Diceros bicornis minor: one gene and its partners. The protein of the gene in region 4 purifies or fractionates together with the protein of the main gene of each other region. This does not show direct contact. Links are inferred from orthologs where the notes say so. Each region holds a gene or a part of one and is shown on either strand. Other genes may lie near its edges. The genes, in order: CDC45, TIMELESS, ATR and CLSPN.

Region 1 (7,054 bases), on a different chromosome or scaffold from region 4:
CATTTTAGGCTCACGGTGGCCTCTCACACTGCTCACACTGCTATCTTGCTGGTCCCTACACCACCCCTTGGATGATCAGGGCAGGTCCAAGCCCCATTTATAGAGCAAACTCCTCTGAGATTCCGATATTCAATGAGACTGGGCTGGCCTGAGCTCCAAGGGCAGACTCAATGCAGGCTTCTGGTATCTACACCTCCCAGGTCAAGCAAATTCCACGAATGCATTCTGAGCACCTCCAAGGGTAAAGTGCCATGCTTCTCATCAAAGACAGACAAGTTCTTGTCCTCAGGCTGCTCCAACTCCTATATGGGAGGTGGATACGTGCCTTGCCAAGAACACCAGGTGCAATGTTGTCTGTGGCATTAAAAGGTACAGTCAGATCAATGGGAGAACTTGGGGGAGGCGTGGGCCCCAAAGCCCTAGTTACCTGGGTATCATTGTACACATTCACGACATTGACTGGCCTGTGAGTGTCACATACAAAAAATATGGCGTCTTCATCGGGCTGAAGGATATCCAATAGGTCTACGTTAGCTCCACAGTTTATGAGGATAAAATAACGAAACTGAAAAAAGAAGAGACATTGTGCACTAAGTGCATTGCGGAGGCCCTCTACCTCAGCATACTAGGCCTGAGTCCTTCCGCTGAGAAACATCAAGCCTCCGACACTTGGCAAGGCCCTGACAGCAAGAGGCTCCAAAAATGGCCATGGCCGGCCTGTGTTAAGAGCTTTAACATATACCATATGCTATTTCATGTTCATGATGACACCGTGAGATAGGCTCCACGCTGGCACCACGGCTGTCTCCACTTCGCTGAGGAGCATGCAGAGGGTCAGCATGGCCGAGTCTCATGCACAGGGGCAAGAAGCTGATGTGGAGCAGATCAAAACTTCAAATGCATAACTGGGCCTCTCCAGACCTCAGTCTGCTGTGCTGCCTCTCCATACTAATAGCATTGTACAGGTTTACACTTTCAGCAAATCTTGGGCAGCCTATACTTAATGGGCACCTAAATATTAAATTAAGTCTTTTATTATATCCTATCACTATAGAGAATCCTTTCCTTATAAACACCGAATTGGCACAGGTCCCTTCTGTGATGACATGAGCTCCAGGCAAGGATTTATCTCTGCCAGACAATCCTAGATGTGGCCAGAGACTCCAGGCAGCTGTGGGGCAGTGGGCTCTAAGATGTCCCACATCTCATTACAGCTCCATACAGAGGTGGTAGGAGTACTGGCCTCTACTGTTTAAATTACAAAGGGAGAAGATATGTTCCTAGATTTCTAGTTGGAAACTGGAATACATTTTCTTGGAGAGACAATGTAAAATAATGGTCTAATCTAAAATAATTTTAACTAGGCCATATCAAAAACTAACTGCTAAATTCCAAGCAGCTTAGAAAGAAATGTCAGCAACACAAGTTCAAAGTTAAAGGCTATACGTATTCACTATCTTTCTTTCGCTGTCCATTTTGTCTCCACAACTCACACGGGCATACAGCTCAGTTTTCTCTTCCGTACTGCCTAATATAGTTGATACTTACATATACATGCAACCTACTGTGGAAATAGAAAGAATGCTAAGTGTTGAGAAATTGCAATTGAGTAAAAAAAGCCTAATCATTCTAAAATATATCTCTCATACCTGTTCTTTATGCTCAAGAAATGCAGTTTCAAGTTCTTGCCACCCAGAAACTGGAATCAGCGTATACTGCACGTGGTCACACTGGAACAGGGCCTGGAGAGAGATGATTTTCAAAACCTATCTTAATTAGGGTGTCTGCAATTTCCCTTGAAATGCAGTTAAAAACAAGTGGCTGAGAGACAAATGACATGGATAAAGTAAGGTTAGTGAAATGTTAATAGGAGAAACCAGGTAATGGGGATATGAGTGTTCACTGTTCATTCTTTCAACGTTTCAACGTTGCTGAATTTTTTTAAAAACTACCAAAGGAAAATATTGGGAGAAAAGCTGGTCTTATTTTTATGTCTTCTGAGACCTAAAGTAGTTCCTGACCCAAGTGCCTGACCAAAGTTCTTGTAAACATCGCACCACACTCAAAACTGAACCAATGATCTTGCATCCTGTATTTCCAGTATTGCTTATGACACCACTGTGCACTCAGTTGTCACAGATTCCTCTGTCTCAAATCCCACATTTGAGAAGCCACTATGGGTCTATAGGTCTCTCGAATGCAGCCATTTTTTGCCTAGGTTATTGCAAAAAAACTAACTAGTCTCTGCCTTTTGCCTAATCCTTCTCAAACCTGCCCAATACTCTCCTGCCAGGGAGGTGATCTCTCAGAGTCCCCCTTCCCGGCTTTCAGTTGTCGTTGCTCCGGCCCTCACCGGAGGCCTCACTGGGAGCCTGAGTTCTCACCCCAGAGGGGGTTCTTTACCCCGCTCCTCACCTCCCGCCCGGCTGCCTACCCCACCCTGTTCCCCCCGGACGCTAAGCTTTCACTTCCCGGAATCTAAGCCTTCACTTCCCGCCCCACTCCCTGCCCACCCTGCGCCCCCACCACCCGCCCGTGCCCACCCTGCACCCTCTCCTCTCGCCCCGGCCCCACCCTCCCAGGGTCCGCAGGGCTCACTTGAAGGATCTTGCAAGCGCACAGTGCGTCCACGTCCCAAGCCACGAAGAGAAGAACCCTCTGTCGGGGGAAGAGCGGCGAGCTGAGCGCAGCGACACGAACCCGGGCCCCTCCCGCCCTCCCACGGCCGCTCCCCTTTATCCCTTCCCCCCGACAAGGCTTCAGGGTCCAAGAAAGGGGGTCACCTGGCTCTGGACCACCTCGTAGAACTCCTTACGGAAATCGGACACGAACATGGCCACAGCGGCCGGACGCCCAGAGCTCTCTCTGAGACACGGAGAGCTCCGGCCGCGGTCAAGACTCCCGCCAAATCAGAGCTCTTCCGATTGGCCTAGGGGCCAACCAATAGCTACTTAGTGCCCAGCCTTTCCTCCTTTTTGATTGGAGCATATTTGAGGCGGGCAGTAGCGCTCCGCCATTCCGCTGGAACAGTCCGGCCCTGACCGAAAAAAGCGTCATCAACAGGCGGGACGCAAACAGGGCTGTCCACTTCACCTCTGACTCCCGTTTACCCAGAAACCCGACGCTCGGTGGACATCTTTACTTTGGGAAGAGAAGCCTATAGCCTCCCACTGGGAGCTCCAAGAAAAAGAAACATTTTCGTCATGAATTAAATTAATTTATACATCGAACGGGGGCGTCAGTTTACGATGTCACTAGGCTCTCGGTCTAGTTTGAAGGAGGATGTGTAGCTTATTTCCGCCCGAGTCCTGGATGGCTGCGGCAAAGGCCGGAAGGTCTACATGCATTCTGGGTAGTGTAGTCAGTAAGGAGAATGGGCCCCACTAAACTCCTCTAGAGGGGAGTACTATCAAAATGTAATTTAAAGTAATTATAAAAATTACTCGAGAGTGGAGCACACTTTAGGAAAGGGTATTTTAGTGCTTTTTCCGGGGAAATTTTAGACCCTAGCGCCTCTGCCTGGCTTTTTCTCTTTTGCAGCCGACCCCTGCCCTCGGCGCCTCCCCCCGGGTCTCAGGTCCGGTACTTCCGGTGAGTCTCCCCGCGGTCGGAGCTGAGGCGGCGGCGGCGGCTGTGAGGAGAGCGGTCGGCGGGCTGCCATCGTTACGTTCCCTGGGCGAAGCGGCGGCAGCGAGGCAGAGGTGTCCATCATGGTAAGCGCGGCCAGGCAGGGGCCGGGAGCTGGGGCTGCGGCCGGGAGCTGGGGTTGAGGGCCGAGGCCGGGGCCCGGCGGGGCGGACGTGACGGCTACGGAGATGTCGAGTCACCCTGGCCGGAGTCCGGCCCGTCTGCCCGTCCGGGGCGCCTCGGGCTGGAGCCGAACCCTTCACCGCTAACGGCCTCGGCTCTCTCCGCTTGTGCGGAGCATGGTTCGCATTTCCTCAGTTGGACTTGAACTTCTTGAGGGGAAAAAGGAAGCTTCTAGTTGCAAGTGCTAGACACGTAGCATGTTTCCGTAAACACCAAATTAATTGGAAGGTTGTGAGGGCGAGGAGCAGAATCAGGGGCTCCCAGTGAGAATGCGCGGGGTCATCCCCTTACCCCAGTTCCTCAAGCCCAGTATTTCTTGGTCATGCCTCGAGTGTGATGATGCTTTCGGCTATTTAAGCGATTCAGTAAAGATAACAGTAGTAGCTAATATTTACTGGCCCTTTTTCCATTACGCAGCTTTTTCTTTTAACACCTACAGTTGCTCATTACAACTCATCCCGTTTAATCCTTATGAAGCACTTGGAGGCATGGGTGATCATTATTTTAACCATGAGAAAACTAAGGTTTAAAGAGGTAGATAGTTTACTTGAGGTCACAAAAGTGAGGAGTGGAAATTTGAAGCCAAGTCTATCTGGCTGCAAAGCTCAGGCTCATTACCATTGTACAGCATTGCCTCAGTGTCAGCTGTTTATTTTCATAAAAACAAGGAATGATTATTAGATTTTATCCCAGGTATGTCAGTGTTGAATCACGTTTCTATTCTCAAGTCCATGCACTTAATGGACATTGAATACCTGATAGGTCTTGGTAATATGCTAGGCATTGGGGGTGTAAAGGGAAGTAGAACTTGGGGTTGGGAGCAGCAGAGAGGGGCAGAAGGTCAGGTTCATGGGTAGATTGAAGGCAGATTGTTAGGGATATTAAGTACTTTGTGTGTATTTTACTCTGTCCTGTTGTAAAGAGAAGAAATGGCTTACATGAGTTAGTGTAGTGACAGGGCTCAGGGAGGTGCCTGCTTCTCTCCCTTCTTTCATCTGGAAATCCTGTTTCATTTGTCCTGCTTCTGGCCAAGATTTTGTTGAACAGAGTTATGCTGTTTAAAAAAAGAGAGGGAAAGGTTTGAAAACTGCTATGCTGGAGCTCCAGGGAGTGAAGAGCCATTTGAGATCTTAATCAGGAGCATGCTGTATTTGCATATTAGAAAGATAGCTGATTCAGCTTACTAATTTTGGAATTGCCAGGAAACTACCTTGTCAGTAGATGGCTTGCTCTCTACTTCATTTATATTTGGAATCAAGTCAAGAAATATTTGTCTATTGTGAGGGTTTTTTTTAACTTACGGTAAAAAACACATGGCATAAATTTATCATCTGAAACATTTTTAAATATACAGTTCAGTAGTATTAATTTTATTCATATTGCTGTGTAATGGATCTCCAGAACTTTCTCATCTAACAACAATTTCCCACTTCCCCTCCCCCAGCCCCTGGCAACAACATTCTACTTTCTATCTCTATGAATTTGATGACTCTAGGGACCTCATATAAGTGGAATCATATAGTATTTGTCTTTTTGTAGCTGGCTTATTTCACTTAGCATAATGTCCTCAAGGTTCATCCTCCATGTAGCATGTGACAGGATTTCCTTCATTTTTCAAGCTGAACAATATTCCATTGTATGGATATACCACAATTTGTTTATCCATTCATGCTTCAATGGACACTTAGGTTGTTCCACCTCTTGGCTATTGTAAATAGTGCTGCTGTGAACATGAGTCTACAAATATCTCTTCAAGAGCCTGCTTTCAGTTCTTTTGGATATATACCCTATTGTGCAATTTTGTATTCTTTTTTTTAAACATCAAGGGAATTGCAATACTTTGAGAAGACCCCAGATTGCTGTGTAACGTGTTTTCTAAGCCTCATTGTAATCCACAATGTAAGAGCTGAGATCTTACCTTTTTGATGACACCACATCTTGGCTTTACTTATTAACAGGAGGGAGTACCACAGTGTAGCACATGAGAGCACAATGGAGGGGCACCAGCCCAGACCTTGGGCAGAGCAGGGAAGGTTCCTGGAGCAAGGAAAGGGTGGTCATGAAGCCAGGAGAACGGGAAGGGGTGCAAACACTGGGCGCCTGCTCTTGCTGCTGCCTGGAATGCCATTCCCTGCTTTCTGCCTGGCTCCCTTTCCTGGCATTCAGGTCTCTGCAGAGTCCCTTCCTGACCACCCATCTAAAATAGCATTCCCAGGAGGTCTCTGTCCCTTACCTCTCTTGTCCTCAGAGCTTTCATCACTGCCAGACATGCAGGCATTTTCTTTTGCTTGTTTCTCTCATCTTGAATGTTGGCTCCACCAGGGCAGAGATTGTACCTGTTTTGTTGGTGAGCAGACATCACTAGAGTGATGTTTCCCGAGTGCTTAAGTCAGAGCCTGGCAGATAGTGGGCACTCAATAAATAGAGATTTTTTAAATTAATGAGAAGAGGAAAAGTGTTCCAGGTGGAGGAACCAGCCTGGCGGGGACGTGGCAGGTGTAGGAGATTTTGGGGCCATCAGTAACCGGTCCCTGAGGTGGGTGCAAGGTCTGGCTTGGATCCTGTGGTGTTTGGGGGCTGAAAGAGATTAAGGACAGGCTTGATGTGGCTAGTTTTATATTTTAGTATGTTCACACCATCTGAAAACAGTGGAGACTAAATCGGAGAGATGAGACTTGGCATGGAAGAATGTGTAGAACAGAGAGATTTGAGATTCACTGTGCTGCTGGGAGGTGTTCAGGCAGACTGCTCTGGTCCATCAGGATTTGGGGGCATCTTGTTCTTTGATGATGTTTAGCGGCATTAACTACCCTGACCTGTTTGGGCTTTGACGAGAAGAAATGTACCTTTGTTCTGTTCTAACTCCGGCATTTCTTTCCTCCTCCTAGTTTTCTTTCAACATGTTTGACCACCCGATTCCCCGGGTCTTCCAGAACCGCTTCTCCACACAGTACCGCTGCTTCTCCGTGTCCATGCTTGCGGGGCCTAATGACAGGTCAGATGTGGAGAAAGGAGGGAAGAGTATGTGCTTGTTTTTATTTTGAATAGTAACCTTTCCTGCCCTCAGCCTGCAGTGCTTATAGTCCTCAACAGTCCTTATTTTGCATGTATAACCAGAGCTAGTTACAGTGAAAATGTTGCTTGCCTCAGGCCTGCTGGTGGGGGTGGGGGGAATCCTAATTATGATTAGATTTATGGCTAGTAGCCATTAGGTTCCTCAAAGTAAATTCTAGCAAGTAAATTC
Region 2 (7,757 bases), on a different chromosome or scaffold from region 4:
CATGGTGCCGATACCATGTTATACTAATGAATAGCATTCTCTATCTATGTCTCAAAGATACCTCACAATCAACATCTCCAAAACAGAACATCTTCTCCCCAGGTTTGTCTCCACTTCTCTTTTGGACCTCTCAGGGACTGACACTATCCGTGCAGTGATTCACATAAGAAACCTAGGAGTAATCCTAAATACTTTGAGTCACTGACTCAGGCCAATTCCACCTCCTTAAGATCTCCTCTCTGGCCCCTGTCCATCCCCATTGCTACTGCCTTAGTTCAGGTCCTGAGTATCTCTTGCTTAGATTCCTCAACTGCTTCTTAACCTCCTTCCCTGCCTCCAGTCTTGTTCTCTTAAATCTATCCACAATATGGATACCAGATTTGGCCATATAACCACCCTGCTTAAAACCCTTCAATGGATACACAAGAAACTTCAGGGCCTGGCCCCGTGGCCGAGTGGTTAAAGTTCCACACACTCCGCTTTGGTGGCCTGGGTTCACAGGTTCAGATCCCGGGCGCAGACCTACTCCACTCACCATGCTGTGGCAGTGTCCCACATACAAAGCAGAGGAAGACTGGCACAGATGTTAGCTCAGGGCTAATCTTCCTCAACCAAAAAAAAAAAAAGAGGATGATTGGCAATGGATATTAGCTCAGGGGTAGTCTTCCTCAGCAAAAAAAAAAAAAAAAGAAGAAACTTCACAGCGATTGTCTCTGAGGAGAACTGGAGAATGGGAGGGCCTAGGGTAGGAGAAATATTTATCTTTCACTTCAGTACTATTCGAATTGTTTACCGTTAGCATGCACTACTATACAAAACTAAAGTTTCAGTGGCCCCCATTGCCTACAATACAACATTCTTCACGATCTGCCTGCTGGTTACCTTTCAAGCTTCTCTCTCAAGACACTCTGCCCAGAATGCCTTTCTCTCATCCACCTAGAGTCTATCCACTCATCTTTTAAGACTCTGCCCAAATGACACTTTTCCTGATTTCTCTATACAAAAGCGACCTCTTTCTCCTTTGTGTCCACTTTGTGCCGTAAACAGACTTCCATCATGGTGTTTACAGCTCAAATTGTATATAATACTTAGACTATTTAAAACGTCTGTCTCCGTCCATTAGCCTTAGATTCCCTGAGGGCAGGAGTTGTTTCTTATTCACCTTTGAATTTTCAGAGTCTAGTGACTGAATCAGAATTTACAGAGGGTGGGTCTTGGACAAGACTGTTTTGAAAATGCTCCTCAGGTGATTCTAACTCAATCTCCTGTAAACAACTGCACTGAAATATAAACTCCTTGAGAGGCCAGCCCGGTGGTGTAGTGGTTAAGTGCGGGTGTTCCGCTTCAGCAGCCCAGGGTTTGCAGGTTCAGATCCCGGATGCGCACCGACGCACTGCTTGTCAAGCCATGCTGTGGTGGCGTCCCATATAAAGTAGAGGAAGATGGGGATGGATGTTAGCCCAGGGCCGGTCTTCTTCGGCAAAAAGAGGAGGATTGGCGACAGATGTTAGCTCAGGGCCGGTCTTCCTCACACACACAAAATATATATATATATTATATACATATATAAACTCCTTGAGGTCAGGAATTATTGTGACCAGAACAATGTAGGTGCTCAATAAATGCTTTCTAAACTGAAGTAGACAAGTCTCAAAGTTGAGAGAGAGGTTGGGGCTGGAGATTTGGAGGCATCAGTTTATAAAATGGTATGTGACGCTGTGAAAGTACATCAGAATACTCAAGAGAGTTCGGAGTGGGAGGAGTAAGGAAGCCAGGGCAGACTTCTTTGTCAGCCGGTAACTGCAGAGGACTCATTTACATGTATTTTTCCTTCCAGACTACGAGTTCCTTCAGGGCAGAAACTATTCTATTCACCTCTGTCCACCTGGTACTGAGCACACTGCACAGTGCATGTTAGGAGCTCAGTGACCTTTTACTGAGTTGTCTAAGTGCACTGATAATAGAGGGAGGTAAAACACCTCAGAGAAACAAAGAAGTGACTACTTTGGCCTAGAAGGGCTAGAAAAATAGAGGTTTTCAGAGGGACAACTGAGTTCAGTTCTGAAAGAGAAGTTCATTTGGCAGAGAAGTGGCCAGAACTTCAAGTAGAGGGAACAGCAGGAGCATAGGTACCCAGGCATGAAAGAGCACAATGCAGATATGGGGCTGGGAGTCAAGTGCATGAGACAGTAAAAATGTGAGGGAGCTTTCGAAATTGAGGCTGAGAGGGTCAGGCCCAGACTAAAAGACCCTGACCCTCTCAGCCCACCTAAGGATTTAAGCCTGACTGTGAGTAGCCAAAGAGGAGTTGTAAATTTAATCTGAAATGACCAGATTGCCTTTTTATAAAGGTAATTAGTGGTAGCATGAAGGGCCGAGTAAAGAATTGAGAGACTCAAGGAAAGGAGCTTAATTAATGGCTGATGGTCCAGCAAACAAGCCCAAGCAGAGGCTATCCTCCTTAAGTCTTATACCGGAGGGAAAGAACGGAAGAGAATGTTAAATCCATCCTATGAAAACCCAAGATTTAAGTCAAGCGAGCTGGGAATTCCGACTGCTGCTGACCACCAAGCTGCACATCTGGTTTTTCCCGTCTGAACTGCTTGGGGAGTCGCCAGGTGGAAATGCCCGGGAACTTTCTGTTCTACTTCAGAGCGTCCTAGCCTCTTCCCCTCACAGCCCCACCCCCGCACGAGGACCAAGCTGTGCAGAAGGGCGCGGGGAAGAGGGAGCACCCTGGACGAGCGGGGAACCCTGAGCAGCTACCGCGGACGCAGGGTGGGCCACTGCGCGTGCGCGCCTAAAGCGCGCGCCCCGCCCCCTGCCCTCAAACCAGGCGGCGGGAAAGGGGACTCAGCGCCTCCCAGGAGTGTCCCCGCGGCTTCGAAGGGATGTTGCCCGCTTAGAGCCCTCTCGCCCACACACTCACTCACCCGCTCCCCGCCGGCGCTCAGGATCCCCGCGGAACCCCGGCCCTCACGCGTGGGACCACAGCCTTTCCCGCCACTCGGCTTGGCAGGCCCAGTCCCCGCCTGCATGGCGAGCGGGGCGGGGCGAGCCGGGCTGGTCCATGTGACCCCGAGGGGCAGGGCGGTTAGTGATGAAGTAAGGAAAAGGGAAGCAAGTACAAGTACCGTTTTATCTGAGTCGATCCCCTACATTGAGCCAAAAATCACAGCGCTATGAATTTTCTGCTGACTTAAGAAAATAGGAATCAAAGTCCTATTAGAGGTGAATTTACAAACGTTCTTCCCCTTCTCCTAGTCAAGTGGATTATTCCAAAGTCTTATAAGATTAATTAGAAAAATGAGGTTTTATTTGGGAGGAAGTGGAGAGTTGAGCTACCGGCAAGAGTGGACTTTTTGCGGGGCGGGGATGTCTGTCATCTAGAGGTACAGGCCCAAAGTTTGCGAAGTATGCAGGAAGCTCCTAAAAGGAAGACATCCACAATAACTATTCATTGGTCAGTTGAGGGTCTCCTTTGGCCTCTGCTGAGATGAGTGTATATTGCCAACAACAAAAGAAGATAGGGTTCAAACGAATAATTATCTCCTGAATTGTTAAGCGTTTTAGTACAAGGAATTGATTTCTGGGGAATAAGGAGAGTTAGAAGAGATTTGCTGGGCTGGCCGGATGGCATAGTGGTTAAGTTTGCATGCTCGGCTTCGTTGGCCCAGGGTTGGCAGGTTCCGATTCCCTGGGCTGATATACGCACCGCTTATCAAGCTATGCTGTGGCAGGCGTCCCACATATAAAGTAGAGGAAGATGGGCAGAGATGTTAGCCCAGGGGCAATCTTCCTCAGCAAAAAGAGGAGGATTGGCAAAAGATGTTAGCTCAGGGCTAATTTTGCTCACAAGAAAAAAAAAAAGAGAGAGAGATTTGCTGAAGATGGAAGGACAGATGAGAGAAAAGTGAAAAGACACACAAAAAAGGAAAATAAAGACGACTATAAAACTAGTGATAAAAGTAGAAAGATGCCATTTGAAGAATGTTTTGATCTGCTCTAAGTAAATTAAAACTCTGAGGGTCTAAGCCTCTCCCTGCTATGCCCACTACCCACCTCTGCATTTGCTCCAGGCATCCCATTTCCTGTTTTGGCATTAGGGAGCTCTTCTGGGGCTTAAGTACCACCTGCCTGGAGGCCACGCTGGAGGAATATCAGGCAGATCAGTTAAACTACTTAATTTTTCTAGATTCTAGGTTCACCCACCCCTTGTTTAGGTTGGGAGCTTGCTGGCCCAGGGCCTCCAAAGAGATCCATCATGCCAGAATGAACACAAAACCCAGCCAGTGGATGTCCACAGGTTTATGTGGCTTTACAGAACAGTTCAAAGTCCAGTGTTCGCTTTTCTCAGAGCTACTTCCCCACCCAAGTCCCTGGGGCAAGCATCCCTGAGATAAATACACTACATTCTCCGATTAACTTTCCCAAAATTTTCTGGTACAATTGCAGCCTGATCTGGGGCTAGTACCTCCATTTCCTCTCTCCCTGCCCCCGGCCCCTTCTCCCAACCCTTGGAATGCTTTGTCTCCTCCACTTCTCTCCACCTGCCTCTTGTGAGGAGTACTCCCTGCTTCCCTGCTCCCTCAGAAACCTAGAGCCATACACAGGACTAGCAGCAGGGTGAAGGCCAGAAGCTTAAGATCTTGGTTCCCTATGCTCAGCACACCGGGTTGGGAGAGGAAGGTATAGGATGACACCTCCTTTCCCTTCCCTACCTCTCCTGCCATGCCCCAGAACTCAGACACAGCCACATTCAGTCACATTCATACACACAATCATGCACACACAGCGGCAAAGAGAGGTGGGATGGGGAGGAAGGGAAGTTTGTACCAACCAGCTCATGAATGCAACTTGAAAGATTTCACACAGCAAAAGGCAAAAAACACACACACATAAATTAAAAAATAAAGAAGTACATGCCCCTCCCCACAGCCTCTTTCTTCATCCAGGGGCTGGGTCAGCCCTTCCATGTAAACCCGGAAGCTTCCTACTCCCTCTATGCCACTGGAGCTTCTACAGGGCCTGGGTCTTCAGTTCAACAGGTTCCCCTGTGCTCTCTGGTTGTCCATTGGCGTCATTGGGCTTGGTACCCTTGAGAACAGACAGTCTCTCAGAAACACTTTTGAGCCGGGGGAAGAGGAGAAAGTCGTAGAGGAGACTGCCCAGGCCCCCTCCAATGATTGGACCCACCCAGTACACCTGTAGGAAGAGAAGAGGAGTAATCAGATTTGGGGAGGGGACCAGGAACAAGGCTGCTCTTTTTCCAACCCCATCGGTGGAAAACAGGCATCCTGCACTTGGCGCACACAGTTGAGCACTATTTAAGCAGAAATCAGTGTTTGTTTTTAAACTCTGGACTGCTCCACTGCCTGCACCTCAAAAATCACCATTTCTTTTCTGACTCATCAAATTATACCTTATCCCACACCTTCTTAGCACATGTATATTCTATTTGTTGTTATCAGTTTGCAGTAGTTTATATATTGCTTTGAAAAAAATTTTTTTTAATTGTGGTAAAATACACTTAACTTAAAATTTACCATCTTAACCATTTCTAGGTGTACAGTTCAGCAGTGTTAAGTATATTCATGTTGTTGTGCAGCAAACCTCAAGAACTTTTTCATCTCGCAAAACTGAAACTCTATACCCATTAAACAACAACTCTCTATTTTCCCCTCTCCCCAGCCCCTGTTAACTACCATTTTGCTTCGTTTCAATGAATTTGACTACTCTCGATACCGCATATAAATGGACTTATACAGTACTGGTCTTTTTTGTGACTGGCTTATTTCACTAAGCGTAATATCCTCAAGGTTCATCCATGTAGTAGCATGCATCAGAATTTCCTTCTTTTTTAAGGCTAAATACTATTCCACTGTATGTATATACTACATTTTGTTTATCCACTCATCTGTGAGGGACACTTGCATTGCTTCCACCTTTTAGCTATTGTGAATAATGCTACCATGAAAATGGGTGTACAGCTTTGAAAAACTTTTTGAATTGTTTTCTTATGTTTGGCTGGCGTATGGCCAAACAACACAAACATAGCCAATTTTTATTTATTTATTTTTTTTGTGAGGAAGATCAGCCCTGAGCTAACATCCATGCTAATCCTCCTCTTTTTGCTGAGGAAGACCGGCTCTGAGCTAACATCTATTGCCAATCTTCCTCCTTTTTTTCCCCAAAGCCCCAGTAGATAGTTGTATGTCATAGCTGCACATCCTTCTAGTTGCGGTATGTGGGACGCGGCCTCAGCATGGCCGGAGAAGCAGTGCGTTGGTGCGCGCCCGGGATCCTAACCCGGGCCGCCAGCAGCGGAGCGCACGCACTTAACCGCTAAGCCACGGGGCCGGCCTGCCAATTTTTATTGAGGACTTATTCCATACCAGATTCTGTGCTAAATATTTCACACATACAGCTTTCACACTTATTCTTTGTAACACCCCCATTTTATAGTAAGGAAACTGAGGCACAGAATGATTGAGTTATTTGCGATGGTCACACACAAGGCTGGTAAAGTGCTAGAACAGGGACGAGCCCAGGCCCATTTGTGCTCATACACAACCTGATCTCTGAGAGTAGAAGTTTTTGTCTTCCTGTTCAGTTGTCTGTTCTAGTACTAGTTTTGGAATCCAGTGGATACTTAATAAAAATGCCTGACTAACCAGCAAAGGAACAATATGAGCAAGAGCCTCTCTTTCTAGCAAAATAAAGAATCCTGCTCACACAGGCATGCCAAACTCTGTGACAGCCCCCTTAGTGTTGAGTGGTGGTAGAACAGTCCACACATCCAGAGGGAAAGCAGGAACCACACCTGGAACCTGCAGTCTATACCCATCCAGGAGGGCTGCAGGATCTTGCCCCTCTCCCCTCACTCACCCAGTGGTTGGTGAAGTTTCTGGTGAGAATGGCAGGAGCAAAGGAGCGGGCAGGGTTCATGCCTGCACCAGTATAGTACATCTGCAAGAGACACAGTTGTAACTGAGACATTTACCCCTACTCCACCTCAGCTCCTCTTCCCACAACCCGCATGCCCCTGAAGGCTGGCACCTTGCCTCCAGCCAGCAGCCAGTAGGGAAGGACAACCTGCATGGGGGTCCCACAATGGAGTGAAGGCACTGATGCTCCATCTGGGGACAGACTACGGATCCATCAGCAAAGCCCACATCTACCCATGATGCATGCATTACCACCTTGGGGTCCAGAAGGACTAGCATAGCAGTCACAAGAGAGAGAGGGCTAGAGCAGAGTTGACTCCTCTGTGCTGACTGATACAGAGGGAGGTGGATAATGTTCATGTTCAACAGTGAGCTGGGCAGGAAGAAACTTAAAAGTTGGGAAAGGTGTAGGGGCCCTGGAATCCTTAAATGAGAAGTTGTTCCCCTCTCCTGCTTACCCCAAAGAGGTGCCCCAGGGTGAGGGAGAAGCCAACGGCCAGGGCCATGGAGCCCAGGCGGCCATTCCGCCTCTCGTCGTACGTGGCAAAGACGCAGAGCACGAACTGGAGCGTCAGGAAGATCTCCACTGTGGTGGCCTGGCCCACGCTCACCCCAGGGTGCAGCTGGGCAAAGGAAGAAGAAGGGAGGCAGCTCATTAGGGCTGCCACAGTGTTAGCTCCTCAAAGCTTCCCAGGCGGGAAGCCCTTATGGCATCAGTTCCCTGGAGAGGAAGGATAATACATCCTCCTTCATAGTAATTGCATTTCTCTTTTAATTTCTCCTAATAATACTCCTTCTTGGTGGAAAAAT
Region 3 (7,946 bases), on a different chromosome or scaffold from region 4:
CTGAGAGGTTACTGTAATAGTCCAGATCAGAAATTATGGTGATAGCAGTAGAGATGGTGAGAAGTGTATTTTTTTGTGTGCATGTGAGGAAGATCAGCCCTGAGCTAACATCCGTTGCCAATCCTCCTCTTTTTGCTGAGGAAAAGATTGATCCTTGGCTAACAACCGTGTCCATCTTCCTCTACTTTACATGAGACGTCGCCACAGCATGGCTTGACAAGTGATGCATCGGTCCGCGCCCAGAATCCTGGCCTGTGAACCCCGGGCTGCCAAAGCAGAGCACGAGAACCTAACCTTTAGGCCACTGGGCCAGCCCCCAGAAGAGTATTTTAAAGGTAGGGTTGACAGGACTTGTTGATGGATTGAGGGATAAGAGAAAGAATCAGGGCTAACTCCTATGCTTTTGGTTGGTACATATACAATAACCTGGGGAAGGAACAGGTTTAAGGACAGTAAATCAGGAGTCCTGCTTTGGATATGTTAATTTTCATTTCCAGGTGTAGATGTTAAGTAAGCAACCTAACATATATCTCTGGGCTAGAGATAGAAATTTGGGAGTTATCAGCATATTGATGATATTTAAAGCACTGGGACTAAAGTTACTTAGGAAGAGAGTGAAGATGAAAAGAGGACCAAGGAAATAGCCCCAAAGCACTTAGAGAGTCAAGAATGATTCCCAGACTTCTGGTTTGGAAAAATGAGTGAACATGGTATCATTTACTGAGATATCCCTACCTCAGTGAATGAGAAGAATTAAAAAAAAAAAAAGCTTGGGGAGACTTGGATATGTGGAGAATTTGTACTGGATATGCTGAATCTCAACTGCACATATAACACCCAGGTAAAATTGCTAGTATATAGTTCTCTATAGTGCTACAGGAGATAGATATGGTTTGGAGAAACACACTTGGAGTCGTCAAACAGCAGATGGTAGGTGAAGGCAGGAGAGTGGATGAGATCACCCAGAAAGACTTTGCAGAGAAAAGAGTGCTAACAGCAAACAACAGAGGAGCAAAATTTAGCCCTGAGAGACAGAGGAAGAGGAGCACACACATTAGAACAGTGACATTTCGCTTTTTTCCGAAATCTAATTGTCGTAGTCAATTAAGGAAAAAAAATTGGGGAGAAGAGGCCTTGATGGTATGACTCTGAAGTCTAGCTCCGATAACTGTTGTCTCTCTGACTTTGATTCCTCAATCTCTGTGACTCAGTTTCTTAACAAATAGTGATAATATTTGCTTCATTCTATATCATGAAGCTACCGTGATATTGAACAAGCTTGAATGAAGCAGTTGCAATGAAAAAGTCATGACAATTAAAAACTAGTATTAGACATTTCTCTTTGGATCAGTTTTTCTATTCTTTCTCTTAGAATGGCTACAAATGAATGAAATGAAAGGTAACACAAGCTCTATTATGAAAGAGACTGTAAATAAATCCAAGATGCTATTATTTTTATTAACAAGTCTCACAGAGGAAGAGAGAATAGGGAAGAGAAGTATTAATCAGTTAATTCTACATGAAAGCAAAGTAGGGAAAACACACTGAGCTTCATGCTGAGCTTGAATAACGAAATGTGTCCATCAACTAACTAAAATGAGCACTTGTATTCATCTTTTAGAAAGCTAGATGTTACCCGACTAAACGTTAACGCAAAGTGTGCTTGCAACATGCATGCAAAGAAAAATTCACACACACACAGAGGATGATTCAGTTAAGACAAGCATGGTCTTTTCATTTAGCCCCTTATTTACGTAATTGAGGAAGACTAAACGTCCTTGTATGGCCAACAAGTGGAGGTGAACACAACTGCACCGCGAGTAGAAAGGCAATTAAATATCCCAGGGGCTTAACCACCGTTTTGACTTCGTTTGTGCTAAGTTTTCCAACAGTTTAAGAAACTGGAAAGCAGCTATTCCAATGGGTAGTTCCAGTGCAGTGGTGGTACAAGCCCACTTATTTCTTGTTCACAGTGGGTTACAATATTAAAAAAACAAACAAAACCCCTGCCTTCTAGTCTCGAGGCCTGTTTGAGGGACGGCCGCGTGGATTAAAGGGGACAGGAGCCATCAACACTCTCCCCTCTCTTCCGGCAGGACACTGGTTCACAGGATGTTACTCTAGGATTTACAGAAAACAAGCTTTTGCAAGTGAAACAATATTAAATTGTCTTCAGATTTTGGCAACATCCTGTGCACTTTCCATTTTGTGGACGTTGCGGCCGATCCCCGGCTTTTGACTAAAATAACGGATTGGCGACCGGGTGATCAATACCGAAGGGGTCCCATCTTCAGAACGGCCTATGGTTTCACCTCGAAAATAGAAACTACCTTTTCGAGCAACTGGCCTGCCTTACACAAAATCAGAACCAGCGATTTTTTCTGTTAAGGGCAGTTTGGGTCAAAACATAAAGCTAAAAACCCAATTCCTCCACGAGCGCTCCTAAAGACTAGAAACTGGGGAATGTCTACGGGTCAAGTCCCTCATCTAAAAGGAGAGAGGCTTTCGAGAAGCGAGTGAGTGGAGTCAAGTGACCAGAAAAGCGGTCGAAGGGACACTTCCCCCCAGCTGCAGAGGGCAGCCCCGGCTGGGGACGAGCGCCCTCGCGCCGCTGAGGTAAAGTGCGGCCGGCAGACGCCTCCCTCCCCTCGGCCTGGCTTCCCGCAGGTCCTTGGAGGCGCCCCGCGTCACCTGAACCGCCCCTCTGAGGGGAAGCGCTCCGGTCCGCCGCGGAGCATCTCCACAGGGGCCGGGGCGGAGGGGATCGGAGCCCGGACGCGCGCGGCAGGGGACGGAGAGCACGTGAAACGCCGGCCGGGCCGGCGGGGAAGGACCTGGGATCCAGGACTGCCGGGCTCGCCCTACCTGCCCAGCTCCCGCAGGGCGGGGATCATGGACGCCAGCTCCAGGCCATGCTCGCCCATGCTGAGGACGCGCGGCACTCGTCAACGACGCCGATGCGGACTGCCGGCGTCTCCACAGCTACTCCGGTGGGAAGCCGCGGCGCCCGACGGGAACTCGCGGGGTCCAAAACTCCTCCCGGAAGCCGCCGCCGGCCCCGCTCTGGAGGCGGTATTTCGTTTCCGCGTAGGACCCGGGGGAGGCCGGGAGGCAGAAAGGGGCGGGGCGAGCCGGTGGCGCGCGCTGCGGCCACCTTTCCCTGCGCGGGTTCCGGGTTAGCTCGGCGCGCTGGGGGGGCGGGGTTCGCCGAGCTTGGGTTTTAGCGGCTGCGCTCCGTGCCTCCTAGCCTAGAAGGCTCAGCGAAGCGAGTCCCGCGGATCTCGGGGAGAAAGGGGCTTGGCGGGCCCCAGCCCAGACTCGGTCGCATCACAGGTGTGAGAACTGAGACGATTCAGCGAGTCAAGGCCACCACTAGATGCCGGGTCTCCCCACGGCGTAAGGCCCTCAGGTTCCTCATTTTCCTACCGCTCTCCTGGCATCCTTGCTGAGAGATGCGGGGCAGCAGGTGGGATCCTCCCTGTCCTTTCTGTTTCAGCAGCTTTTTTCAACTTGAAGTCACTCTTCGGTTTCCTTGAGGATTCTCCTAACCTTTAATATTTCAAAAGGGATTGAATTGTATTTATGTGTGTCTCATCAGATCAGCAGCAGTACACTGAATGTCACCGTTACGGGCGTCTACCACCGACGATTTAATTTTTAAAGTAAATCAATGCATTGTGGCTGTAGACGTTTTCTAGCTCAGCCCAATTTGCTTATTCGAAAGATGGCCATCATAAGAGACTGTTAACGTGTAAAAATTATGTATTTAATCAGGCAAAGCCGTGCAGTGTGCTTACCTTTGTTCTTTGGCACGTGAGGAGAATTGTGGATGCAGTATCTAAAAAAATCAAAGTGATGGAATGACAGCCAAATATGCGCCTGCCTCAGGGATTTGGCATTTGCTGTGTACCCTCTACCTTGACCTTGAACACCCCTCTCCCATCGCCCCTCTTCAGACGTTTGCTGAAATGTCACCGGAGAGCCTCCTGTAGACCTGCACACACGCTCACACTGTGTTTTCCCCTCTATCCTGCTTTATTTTTCTTCATAGCACTTGGAAGCAAGCGATGTATTACATACTATTTTATCGACTGTCTCCTCCAATTAGAATGTAAGCTCCTTGAGAGCAGGATCTTTTTTGTTTTTTTCACTGCTTAGATACCCAGGACCTAGAACAGTGCCTGGCACATAGTTGGTGTTCAGTAAATATCTGTTAAGTAGTTGAATGCCAAGGTGGAAAGAACGTAAGATTAGGAGTTAGAGGGCCTGCGCAAGTTCTCATTCCATCTGCTAGAAACGATATTACCTCGGGAAAGTTACTTAACCTCTCGGACTTCGCTTTTTCATCTATAAAATGAGATTGATGATATCTGCCTCACATGATTATGGTAAAGATTAGAATACCATTTCTTAGTTAAGATGAATGAAATATACAACACATGCCAACAAGGATGAATCCTGAAAACGATATTGAGTGAAAAAAGCAAATTGCAAAGGGATACATAATATTGTTATATAACTTACATACCATTTTAAAACCACAAAATAAGACTTTGTGTGTTATGTATACATTCATATACGATAAAAGTATAAAAACATGGTTGGGAAGGATGTACATCAACGCCAGGAGAGTTGTACCTCTGAAAAGAGAGAGAAGGAAATGAAATGATGAGGTTTCAACATATCTGTGAGGGTTTTCTTTTAATAGGATCTGAATTAATCATGACAAATTTAACATTTGTTATATTTGGGTGAATGTCATATTACTATTTTTATCTGTATGGTTAAGATATCCCAAAATGTATAAAAAATAAATATGCTTTTTAAAGCTTAAGTTAGACAACACATGTGAAAAACAATTTATCAACTAAAAAGTAACAAATGTTAGGTATTATTTTTAGATCATATGAAGAAAGATTGTAAAAATTACAATGTTATATGGGAGGCAATAGCGGAATAGCATTGTAATTCTAAAACACAGTGTAAACCCCTAAATGTTAGAAACAATAGAGCTTTGCGAATCCAGTTTAATTCAAAAAGTGATTTTTGTGCAAGGTATTGTGTTAGGTACTTCTATGACACAAAAATGAGTAAGACAGTTTCAAATAGTATACAATCTGGATGTAGAAAGGGTATGATAAGAACCCAGAAAATTAAAAGCAAAGCAACATCTATGAATGCCATAAGAGAGATATGAACAGCATGCACTGGAAAAATAGAGGAGGCGGCTGGCCCTGTGGCCTAGTGGTTAAGTTCTGTGCGCTCCGCTTTGGTGGCCTGGGCGTGGACCTACACCACTTGCCAGTGGCTGGGCTGTGGCTATGACCCAGGTACAAAATAGAGGAAGATTGGCAACAGATGTTAGCTCAGGGCGAGTCTTCCTCAGCAAAAAAAAAAGAAAAAGAAAAATAGAGGAAGGAGAGATCATATCTACTCCAGTGGAAAGGAGGTGGATCAGGAAGGGGCTCAAGGAGAATGTGGCACCACATCTGAGATGAGATGTGAAAGATGAGCAGGACTTGAAGAGACAAAGATTGGAGAAAGGACTATATTCTAACTAGAGGCAGCACTATGAAAAAAAGCATACTGAGGGAGAGAAGAGTGGTCCAGTTTGGCTGGTGTTAGGAAACATTTAGAGTCGTCCAACTGAGACGCTTCTACAGACCTCAGTGAGCAATGGAGAGGCACTGGAAGATTTTATATAAAGAGCGACACTGTCAAAGCTACACTCAAATCTAGCAGGAAGGTGCAGGACAGAATAAAAGGAGGTGGTAGGTCATTTAGAGAATCAAACTTCTTTAGCAGTGTATCAATAAAGGAGCAATTGATGTCATTCCAAGCAGATATCCTCCCTCCAGTAGCCATATGCGTCTCTCCTCCACCAAACTTTTTGAATTTTTCATACAGGCTGACTATATTTCCTCATCTACCACTCAGTCCTAACCTACATACACCATACTCTTTGCCCTGTTCGCCCCCTCTTAAACACCTCTCACCAAAGTCACCAATGATTTTCATACGGCTAAATCCAAAAGATGCTTATCAGTTCTTTCCTTTCTTGACCTCTCAGTAGCATTTGACAACATAGACTAATGCCTCCTTCTTGGAACACTGACTTCCTTTAGCCTACAAGATTCATTCTCATGTTAGCAACACTTCCTTTGCCATCCCCTTAACTGTTGGTATTCCTCGGGATTCTAACTTAGCTTCCTTTTTCTTTTTTATGCCTAGGTGACCTCATTCACTCTTAAGGCTTCAATGAACTTTCCACCTGCTGGACACTCCCAAATTCTTTGCTTCTGCTCAGATCTCTCTCTGAGCTTTATATTTCATATGTCTACCTTCCTACTGATTTTTTTTCCCTTGAATTTCTCCCAGGCACTTTATTTTTGTTTAACTTTTTATTATGGAAAGTTTCAAATATATACAAAAGTAGAGAGAATAAAATAAGGAACCCCCTTATGCTCATCACCCAGCTTCACCAATCAGCATATGGCTGCTCTTTGTTTCGTCTATAACCACCCCTCCCATTGCCCCTCTCCCTAATTGGATTATTTTAAAGAAAATCCCAGACATCATATCAATTTTTCTGTAAATACTTCAGTTCATATCTTTAAATGGTAAGGACTCAATTCTACCTCCTAAATATCAAACCTATCCACTTCCCTCCAAATCCTATTACCACCATTCTAGTTTCAGATAATCACTGTCTCTTGCCCAGATTACTTCAGCAGTGTTGTAGGTTGCCTCTCTTCCTTTGGGCTTTTCCCTCCAATCTATTCTCTTCACTGCGAGATTCCCCAACTTTTTTTGCTCACTCAACAATATTGTTGAAATTTTAAAAGTATGCACCCTAATATGTGCATATTTATTTATTAACCATATATATTTATTACTATATTTTAATATACATATAACTCATGATAATGTAAATTTGGACATAGTACAACTGTTGATTGGTTCCTGTCTTCCTCTCACCGCCCCCTGCCCTTTTATCATTTGGTGTGGTGGAGTGTGAAGGGAGAGTGAGGCAGGAAGAAGAGAGGCTGAGGTGGGTCCCAGTGTCCTTGGGACGTTAGTATTTCCTAAGCCCCAGTGTCCCAGATCAAGTCAACCAAGGGGCGCCAACCAATGTCCTCCTGGAAGTTTCATACAGCATGTATATGGAATTGTCCCCATTGTTGATTAAACTAGGATGGGAAATGACCATCAGGTGGCACCACAACCCAAGTGAGACCAAGATGCAGTTGGTTCTCAGTCAGATGCCCAAACTCCTGGCTGCCTAGCTCTGCAAGTTCCATCATAATGCATTGGATGTTTTTTACCCATTTATGGTATTACGTGAGGATTTTACTGTATAATTCACATTATAGTATAGATTAAAATAGAAATCTTCAAGGAATGAGATAAAAAATATGAACAATTTTATAAGTTTCTTTCTATACCTGAATGGTTCAATGTACACCTCCTTGGTACAGTTATACTCAATAATTTGCATTTAAATACTTTTTAAAAATTATTTATTAGTTAATAGTTTGCATTTTTAATAATCTATAAAAATTTGCTCCTAGGTGATGCTCATGTTGTTTGGAGTTCTACACAGCAGACGGAGCAACCTTTTCAAAACCTAGATATGATTATGCCATTCCCTGCTTCAGCAGTTTGACTGTGTTGAATATTGTCAGACAGATTAATGGGTAGAAAGGGGCACATGTCTGTTGGTTGTCATTGGATAAAGCTGCAATTAACAGACCAACATAACCATAAGTCAACATCCCGAAACTTAATAAAGCAGAATAAATGATCCTGTACAGCCAAACTGCACTGATGCACTTGTCCCGTTTAGTAGACACACTGCAAAAATCCATTACCAAACCTATCTAGTTCTTGTAGAGGAACTTATTTAAGAAACTTAAAAGTAAAGCTATTTGTCTTCCTATCCATGT
Region 4 (7,064 bases):
TTTTTGTTCCCCGTTTAACTTTCAGCCTTCGTTCTGGCCATTTCTCCCCCACCCCCACCCAAACACACACCCTATGCTCTAGTCATACTGACCTCCTTTCAGTTCCCCAAACACAACATGCACTATCAAGCCCGTACACATACCTTCTCCTCCCTGGGCCAGCCTGGAGAATTCCAACCCATCTTTGAAACTCAGTTCAGGAGTCATCACCCCCTGACTTACCCTAGGCAAAGTCAGTTTCCCCTCTCTCAGGGCCCCAGAGATACTTGTACACACTTCCACTATTACACACACTTATTTACTTGCCTGTTGCCAATCAGCAATGGGAAGGTCTCTGAGAACAAAACTGTATTTTATTTATCTTTATATTCTCCATATCTAGCAACTTAAAATTGGTACTCAAGGTTTTTTGAATGACTGCATGAATATTTGATAGGTACTTTAGGTTGCCAAAAGTTGTGGTAAAGGAACTTCTGCATACAAAATAGCTGATGGTGTATGTGCTGTCATGCCTTGGGAAAAGACCCTGGTATTTTTTGTTTTTGTTTTTTTAGGCCATGGTATTTTAATCATTCACTCAACAATTATTTATTAAGCACCCACTATGTGTCATATCCTGGGCCATTTTTAAAGGTCGGGGGTACTACATTAAGCAAGAAAAAACATTAAGGCCTTCAAGGAGGGTACTCTCCAAGAGAAGCTTTATAACTGTACGGAATTACAGTACTGAAGTTATTTTTGAAAGCAGATTCTGGGAGATGCAATTATTTCACCGTTCCAAAGGGAAATTTAAACAACTCTTCGAATAATTTTAAAATGAAAAAAAAAAAAAAGGTTTTAGGATAGAGTGGCTACAGGCAATAGACTGATATGATTAAGCTCTGCCACATGGTGGCAGTGCTTCTCCAGGGATGGAGATTTAGTGGCCTAGGACTCCGGAAAAGCAAGCAGTTCTCACACTTTCCTCCAGAGGAATAGTAGTACTGTAATAAAATTTAATATGGTAGCCTTTCTCAATTTGCAGAAAAGATGAAGTAAAAGATATAACTTAGCCAACTTTCTCCCTCCAAACTTCCGTAAGCCTTTGGAATCTGCTTTTGTTTGCCTGCCAGCAAACAAATAAATAGAACTTTGGAATGGGCTGAGCATGTTAAATTCCATGGTTTACTTTTTCATAGATATGTAATCTCAGATTTGCTTTTTTATATTGATTATGTGTGATATAATAATAGATCCTACTAGTGAAAACATTTCCTAATTTATATGACCAGATTAAGTGTGTCAGTACTGCAAAGTATTTCCTGTAGAGTACCATACTTCTAGGTGCTCTGCCAATTGAACTCTTTTGAGAATCATGATCTGAACCAATGTTCTCTTTTTTTTTTTAATAATTTTATTTATTTATTTTTCCCCCAAAGCCCCAGTAGATAGTTGTATGACATAGCTGCACATCCCTCTAGTTGCTGTATGTGGGAGGCAACCTCAGCATGGCCTCAGAAGTGGTGCGTCGGTGCGCGCCCGGGATCCGAACCCAGGCCGCCAGCAGCGGAGTGCGTGCACTTAACCGCTAAGCCATGGGGCCGGCCCGTTCTGAACCAATGTGTTCTAATTACAAACAAGGAAACTAAGGCTCTGAGAAGCTAAATGACTTAACGAAGTTCACAACGCCATTTACAGGAGAGGTTCAAGCTAATTCCTATAAAGTGAACACTCCAGATCTTTCCCTCGCTGCCATCTATCAACTTCATAAACAGAGCTTGTTGGATGATTAACCTTGAGAGTCAAGAGACAGAGAGGAGTCAAGGTGACTCCCAGGTTTCTGAATTGGTGAGTGATGGATTATGGCGCCATTCTCTCACCACAATTGAGAATACAGACTGCTAATTCCAAATACAGACTTGCTTTAGCATGGCACAAATTAAAATATAGAATAAAAGGTTTCTCCTTCCTAGCTCACCCCTTCCACCCATTGTTCAAATCAGAGCTCTCTCTCTTAGTTTCTCTGGTGACTGAAGAGGTGCTCCCCAAAGAGAGGAAAATGCTAATTCGTTCTGAAAATGTTACTACCAGGACTATCTCATTTATTCACTTCTAGAGGGGGTTCAAGAAGAAGAATAGAGTTGTCAAGTGATGGAATTAATTAGTTCAACAAATATTGATCAGTTTCCCTACCATGAGCCAGGTATGTTCTAGACCCTTGGTTCTCAAAGCGCGGTCTCCATACCAGCAGCATTAGCATCATCTGGGCACTTGTTAGCAAAAAATTCTTGGGCCTCACAACAGACATTCTGAATCAGAAACTCTGGGAGTGGGGTCCAACAATCTGTTTATACCAGCCCTTCGGATCATTCTGATGCATGCTCAAGTTTGTGAACGACTATTATAGATAGTGAGGATATGGTGTTAAAGAGAACAAAGTGCTTGTTCTCTTGGAGCAACTATATACAAATAGATAAAAATAAAATTTCAGGCAGAGGTAAGTGTTATCGGGGAAACCAGAACAGGAGACGGAGGGAGAATGTAGAGGGTGCTCAGGCAAGATGTCCCTGGAGTATGAGCTCTGGAGTCAGATTGAGCAGGGTGTGAATATTGGCACCACCAGTTACTAGCCCTTTAAAGGTTTAGTTTCCTCATCTGCTAAAATGGAGATAATAATATTACTTACCTTACACAGTTACTGTGAAGATTAAATAAGATAATGTTTGCAAAATTCTTGCAACTGTTTCTGTCACAGGGTAAGCCCCCAATAAGTGTTAGCCCTCCAAATATGAGGGAGGAGTGCTATAGATAGATATTTGGGAATCAACAATGTAGAAATTAATAGTAAAGTGGGTGAAAAGGTGGATAGACTGAGATGTGAGAGAAGAGGATGGATGATGGGACCCTGTTGATGGGAGCAGAAGTGGGTTGGGAAGTGGTGAGGAGGTGAAGAAATGAAGAGGAGGAAAGAGAACTTTTATTTGAACCCAGCTAAAGCTGGAAACTTGGAAGAAGAGGCCAGTGGAGAGGGTGACTAACCATCCTGGTTTGCCTAGGACAGAGGATATTCCCAGGATGCTAAAACTGGGAAAGTCCTGGGAAAATTGGGGTGAGTTGGGCACCCCACCGGTGGATAGACTCATGGGGGTAGGGTGGGGTTAGTAACTACTGTGATCTTTCTTTTTTGGTGCCCTCTGATCCCTTCCTTACAGTAATCTTGTAAAGTATCTTCCGGTAGCTTGACTCAACTGGAAGGGCAAGGGAGCTCTGCCAATGCAGTGGGGAGAAGTCAGCCTTGGCTGGACAGAGCAGGATAAGGAAAGACAGAGAATAGACCTGGAGGGGCAAAAAGATAGTAACCAGCACAGGGACAAGGGATAGAATTGTCTGGGATTAGTCTGACTCCAGACCTTTTATTCTCTTACCTGCCTTGTCCAGAGAGGGTAGGAGTGCGATGGGTGGGTGTTTTCTGCATCCTCAAATTAACCTTAAATAAAGTTATAAAGGTTATCCAAGGACATTCTTTGGTATCTGAGCAGCCCACACAACTTTTCCTTTTTGATGTTCAGTGGTGTGAGTGCCTTGTACAAGAAGGGGCAGGAAGGATCTAGCTACTCCAGGGATGGAGGTCGTGAAGAAAAGCCCCACAGGGGCACTCAAGTATGGGACAAGGATGCCCTTGGGTGCCCAGGTATCTTCTTCCAGCTCACTTCCCGCCTGAAGGGCTGACTCCTCAAATTGCGCTTGATGGGAGCTGTCGCGCTATGGCAAAGGGCAAAGGTCAAAGTCCACAACTGCATGGTACAGCCTTGCAAGGCCAGAGGGCCCGACTGCCCGGCAGCCAGGACACCTCTAGCCTCCCCTAAACTCAGTTGACAAGAGGACCCTCCACCCGCCAACCCAACCCTGATTACAGTACTGTATACTTGTAGGGCTGGCCGAAGGCGCTTCGTGATTGGTAGGACGGGATGGGGGCGTGGCCTCATGTAGAAAACCTCCTCCGGATTGGTGCAAATCGTCGAGGGCGGGGCTTGCACTCCGGCTGGGCGCGAAAGCTCGAACGGCGCTGCGGGGCTGGAGACGGCGGGAGCAGCTGCGCCCCGGCTCAGGGAACCGGAGAACTGCTTCGTCCGGAGCGGAGCGCTGGGGAGGCCAGAGTCATGACGGGCGAAGTGGTTTCTGAGGTGAGTTCATGCACATGCCTCCATCCGCGGCTGCGGGGGTCCGGCGCCGAGGGGTGGGGTGGGAGCGGGGTCGAGCCGGGCAAAGCCAGCGGCGGCGTCTGGGATGACTACAGCTCCCGGCGTGCTCTGCGGCGGCTCGGCCTCGCGGCCCCCCGGGATCAACCCGCTGTCCCCGGGGGCTCGCGACTCCGCCGTCCAGTCCTGGAGCTGGGGTTCTTGCCTCGGCCCTCTCGGTCTTGTTGCTCCTGTCTTTGTGGCGCGCCCAGCCCCTGCAGCCGCCCACCCGCCCTCCCCTTTGGCGCGTTTCCTGCCGAGGGAGCTCTTCCTCCTACAGCGCCCCAAAAGAGGAAATTCCAGGCTGAACCGGGCCGCTGGGATGCGGGGCGGGATTCTGTGTCAGTGGACGGCGGGGGTCTCAGGGAATTCGACATTGGCTCTGGAAGGGGCCTTTGAGGTCATTACACGGGGCCCCGAGAGGGGACGTACAGTCTCACGGCCTCCTGGCTGGTAGCTGACTGGTCGGTGGCAGAATTTGGCGGAGAAACGACATCTGTTTCCAGACCTGTGTTTCACCCTGAGGCCGGGGCTAGGGTGAGACACTCGCCTTGGGAGCAAAATTTAAGGCTTCGCCAAAAAAAGTAATCACGATAATATTTTAACGCAATATTTTTTAAATAAAAATTAATGCAAAAGATTCCATGATTTGATTTTGAACAAAATATCAAACTTTTAAATAAAGACAAGATCCGACCTTGCGCTTGCACTGCTCTGCCTAACTCACCTCACCCTAATCCCGGCCCTGGTTCCAATAAAACTTTACTTACATAAGCAGGCGGCTGACCTCATGAGCCATAGTTTGCCAATTTGATTTTTTCTTTTAAATATTGCACTAAGATATTATCTTGATTACTGATGGGTTTTTGAGACTCTCTCTTCTCACCCTTTTCCTGGCCCTGATTGTTGCTAGTACCACTGCAAATTGTCTGGATTGGAGTGAGTAAGAGCATCACCATGTACCTTATTGAATACAGTTTCTGTATGGACAGTCTTACTGCTTTGAATTGTTGGGAGGATCATCAGCACATACATGATGATCCTCAGTGATACCTCGGTGCACATTATCTATGGTTATTATTTTAATAATTGTACCAAACATTCAAATCAGTTTTTTTTTTTTGCTGAGGAAGATTCGCCCTGAGCTAATGTCTGTTGCAAATCTTCCCCTATTTTGTATGTGGGCCGCTGCCACAGCATGGCCACCCACCAGCAGTGTAGGTTTGCGCCTGGGAACTGAACCCCGGGCCACCAAGTGGAGCGTGCTGAACTTAACCACTAGGCCACTGGGCTTGCCCTCAAATCAATTTAATAGTTGTTTGAGAAACCATTAGGATGATGCCTTGTGCCCTGTTACATTACAGATGTTAGTATTTTCCCCCTTATTAATGAGTTGATTCAGAGCCCTAAGAACACGGAGGAGGTAGGAGACCTGGCGTCTAGGATCAGCTTGGTCACTAACTGGTTAAGTCACCTAACACATCCTACTTCTGAGATTTTTTTACTTGTGACTTTTAAAGTGGTTTTATTTGTAAAATTTCAAACATATGCAAACGTAGAAAGGCTGGTATAATGAACCCATCACCTAACCTCAACAATTATCAAATCATGCCAGTCTTGTTTCATTTATACCCCTACCCACTTTCCCCCTCACCGGATTATTTGGAAGCAAATTCCAAACATTATTTCATCCACAAATATTTCATTATGCATCTCTAAAAAATAAGGGCTTTCCAGAAAAGATAACCACAATATTATTACCACACCTAAAAGTTTTAGAATTATTGCTTAATATTAAATATCTAGTCAGTGTTCAGATTTCTTTGACTCATACATATACTTTCAATTTGTTTGAGTCGGGATCCAAACAAAGTCTGCATATTGCAAGTGTTAATATGTGTGTGTATGTATATATCTTAGCTCTCTTTATAGGTCCCCCCACCTCTTTTTTCTTGCAATTTGCTGTTAAAGAAACCACACAGTTTGTCGTATAGAGTTTTCCACATCTGGATTGCGTCTCTGTGATGTTACTTGGATACACTGAGAAACAGTTTACACAGAAAAAGCATAATAAATGCTTAATTATTTTCATTTATTTACCATTACTCAAAATAAAGGGTTGGTTCTATAGCATCCTTCAAAGGTGGACAATGAATTTTTGTTTCTTTTTTGTCCAGTAATTCTTAATATCATCCCTTCATTGAACCATTGTATGGTTTTTTTCCTTATTTCAGCCTGATGATCCCATAATGATTTGTGTATTATTATGTACTTAGTTTTCTTTCACCTGCTGGTTAATGTATATTCTCATTTTCTAGGTTCACCTAGAAATCAATGATCCAAAACTCATTTCACAAGAAGCAGATAGTCCTTCAGACAGTGGACAGGGCAGCTGTGAAACAATTGGGCCCTTGAGTGAAAGAGGTTTGTAATAGTCAGTACTTTTATTTTTAGGAATAGAATGTGGGGGCTTGGGTTGTAAGTGGATCGAATTAATTTCATTATTCTCTTGATTTATTACGTTATTAATGCCTAACCTTATTGTTTGTTTTATTTATTATAAAAGCAAAATAATGGTGCTTGTACCTTTTTGAAAATAACCCATTTCTATTATATTATTGAATGTATGAAATGTCTAGAAGCTACCACATTGCCTGGTTGAATACATTCGTCTTATAATAAAAGGATTTTTAACACCTGCCAGAAGGATTAGAACAACTTTACACATTGTAAATATATATAATTACATGTCTCAGTAAGAGACATTTTTCCAGGGAAAATGTTTTTCAAAATGTATTTTTAGATTTGCTTTGCTACAATCAGTTCTTGGTGATAGTTACATAATTT

Evidence for each region.
Region 1: the proteins of CLSPN (region 4) and CDC45 purify together in Homo sapiens (affinity purification with western blotting; 4 studies listed by BioGRID and IntAct, with this or other methods). This does not show direct contact. The link is inferred for Diceros bicornis minor from reciprocal best matches to the Homo sapiens genes CLSPN and CDC45.
Region 2: the proteins of CLSPN (region 4) and TIMELESS purify together in Homo sapiens (affinity purification with western blotting; 4 studies listed by BioGRID). This does not show direct contact. The link is inferred for Diceros bicornis minor from reciprocal best matches to the Homo sapiens genes CLSPN and TIMELESS.
Region 3: the proteins of CLSPN (region 4) and ATR purify together in Homo sapiens (affinity purification with western blotting; 3 studies listed by BioGRID). This does not show direct contact. The link is inferred for Diceros bicornis minor from reciprocal best matches to the Homo sapiens genes CLSPN and ATR.

What each region holds. Positions count from the first base shown.
Region 1 is NC_080774.1:32,205,823-32,212,876, reverse strand, and holds the start of CDC45 (cell division control protein 45 homolog), read right to left. Parts: upstream 3,008-7,054; 5' UTR 2,835-3,007; coding exon 2,784-2,834; intron 2,659-2,783; coding exon 2,599-2,658; intron 1,743-2,598; coding exon 1,650-1,742; intron 566-1,649; coding exon 428-565; intron 1-427. Other genes in the region: UFD1 (ubiquitin recognition factor in ER-associated degradation protein 1), read left to right, coding at 3,711-3,713, 6,699-6,831. UniProt on the Homo sapiens protein: Required for initiation of chromosomal DNA replication. Core component of CDC45-MCM-GINS (CMG) helicase, the molecular machine that unwinds template DNA during replication, and around which the replisome is built.
Region 2 is NC_080756.1:12,398,563-12,406,319, reverse strand, and holds the start of TIMELESS (protein timeless homolog), read right to left. Parts: upstream 3,012-7,757; 5' UTR 2,934-3,011; intron 1-2,933. Other genes in the region: MIP (lens fiber major intrinsic protein), read right to left, coding at 5,020-5,205, 6,889-6,969, 7,406-7,570. UniProt on the Homo sapiens protein: Plays an important role in the control of DNA replication, maintenance of replication fork stability, maintenance of genome stability throughout normal DNA replication, DNA repair and in the regulation of the circadian clock.
Region 3 is NC_080741.1:11,310,294-11,318,239, reverse strand, and holds the start of ATR (serine/threonine-protein kinase ATR), read right to left. Parts: upstream 3,005-7,946; 5' UTR 2,925-3,004; coding exon 2,866-2,924; intron 1-2,865. UniProt on the Homo sapiens protein: Serine/threonine protein kinase which activates checkpoint signaling upon genotoxic stresses such as ionizing radiation (IR), ultraviolet light (UV), or DNA replication stalling, thereby acting as a DNA damage sensor.
Region 4 is NC_080752.1:50,040,466-50,047,529, reverse strand, and holds the start of CLSPN (claspin), read left to right. Parts: upstream 1-4,049; 5' UTR 4,050-4,139; coding exon 4,140-4,163; intron 4,164-6,535; coding exon 6,536-6,641; intron 6,642-7,064.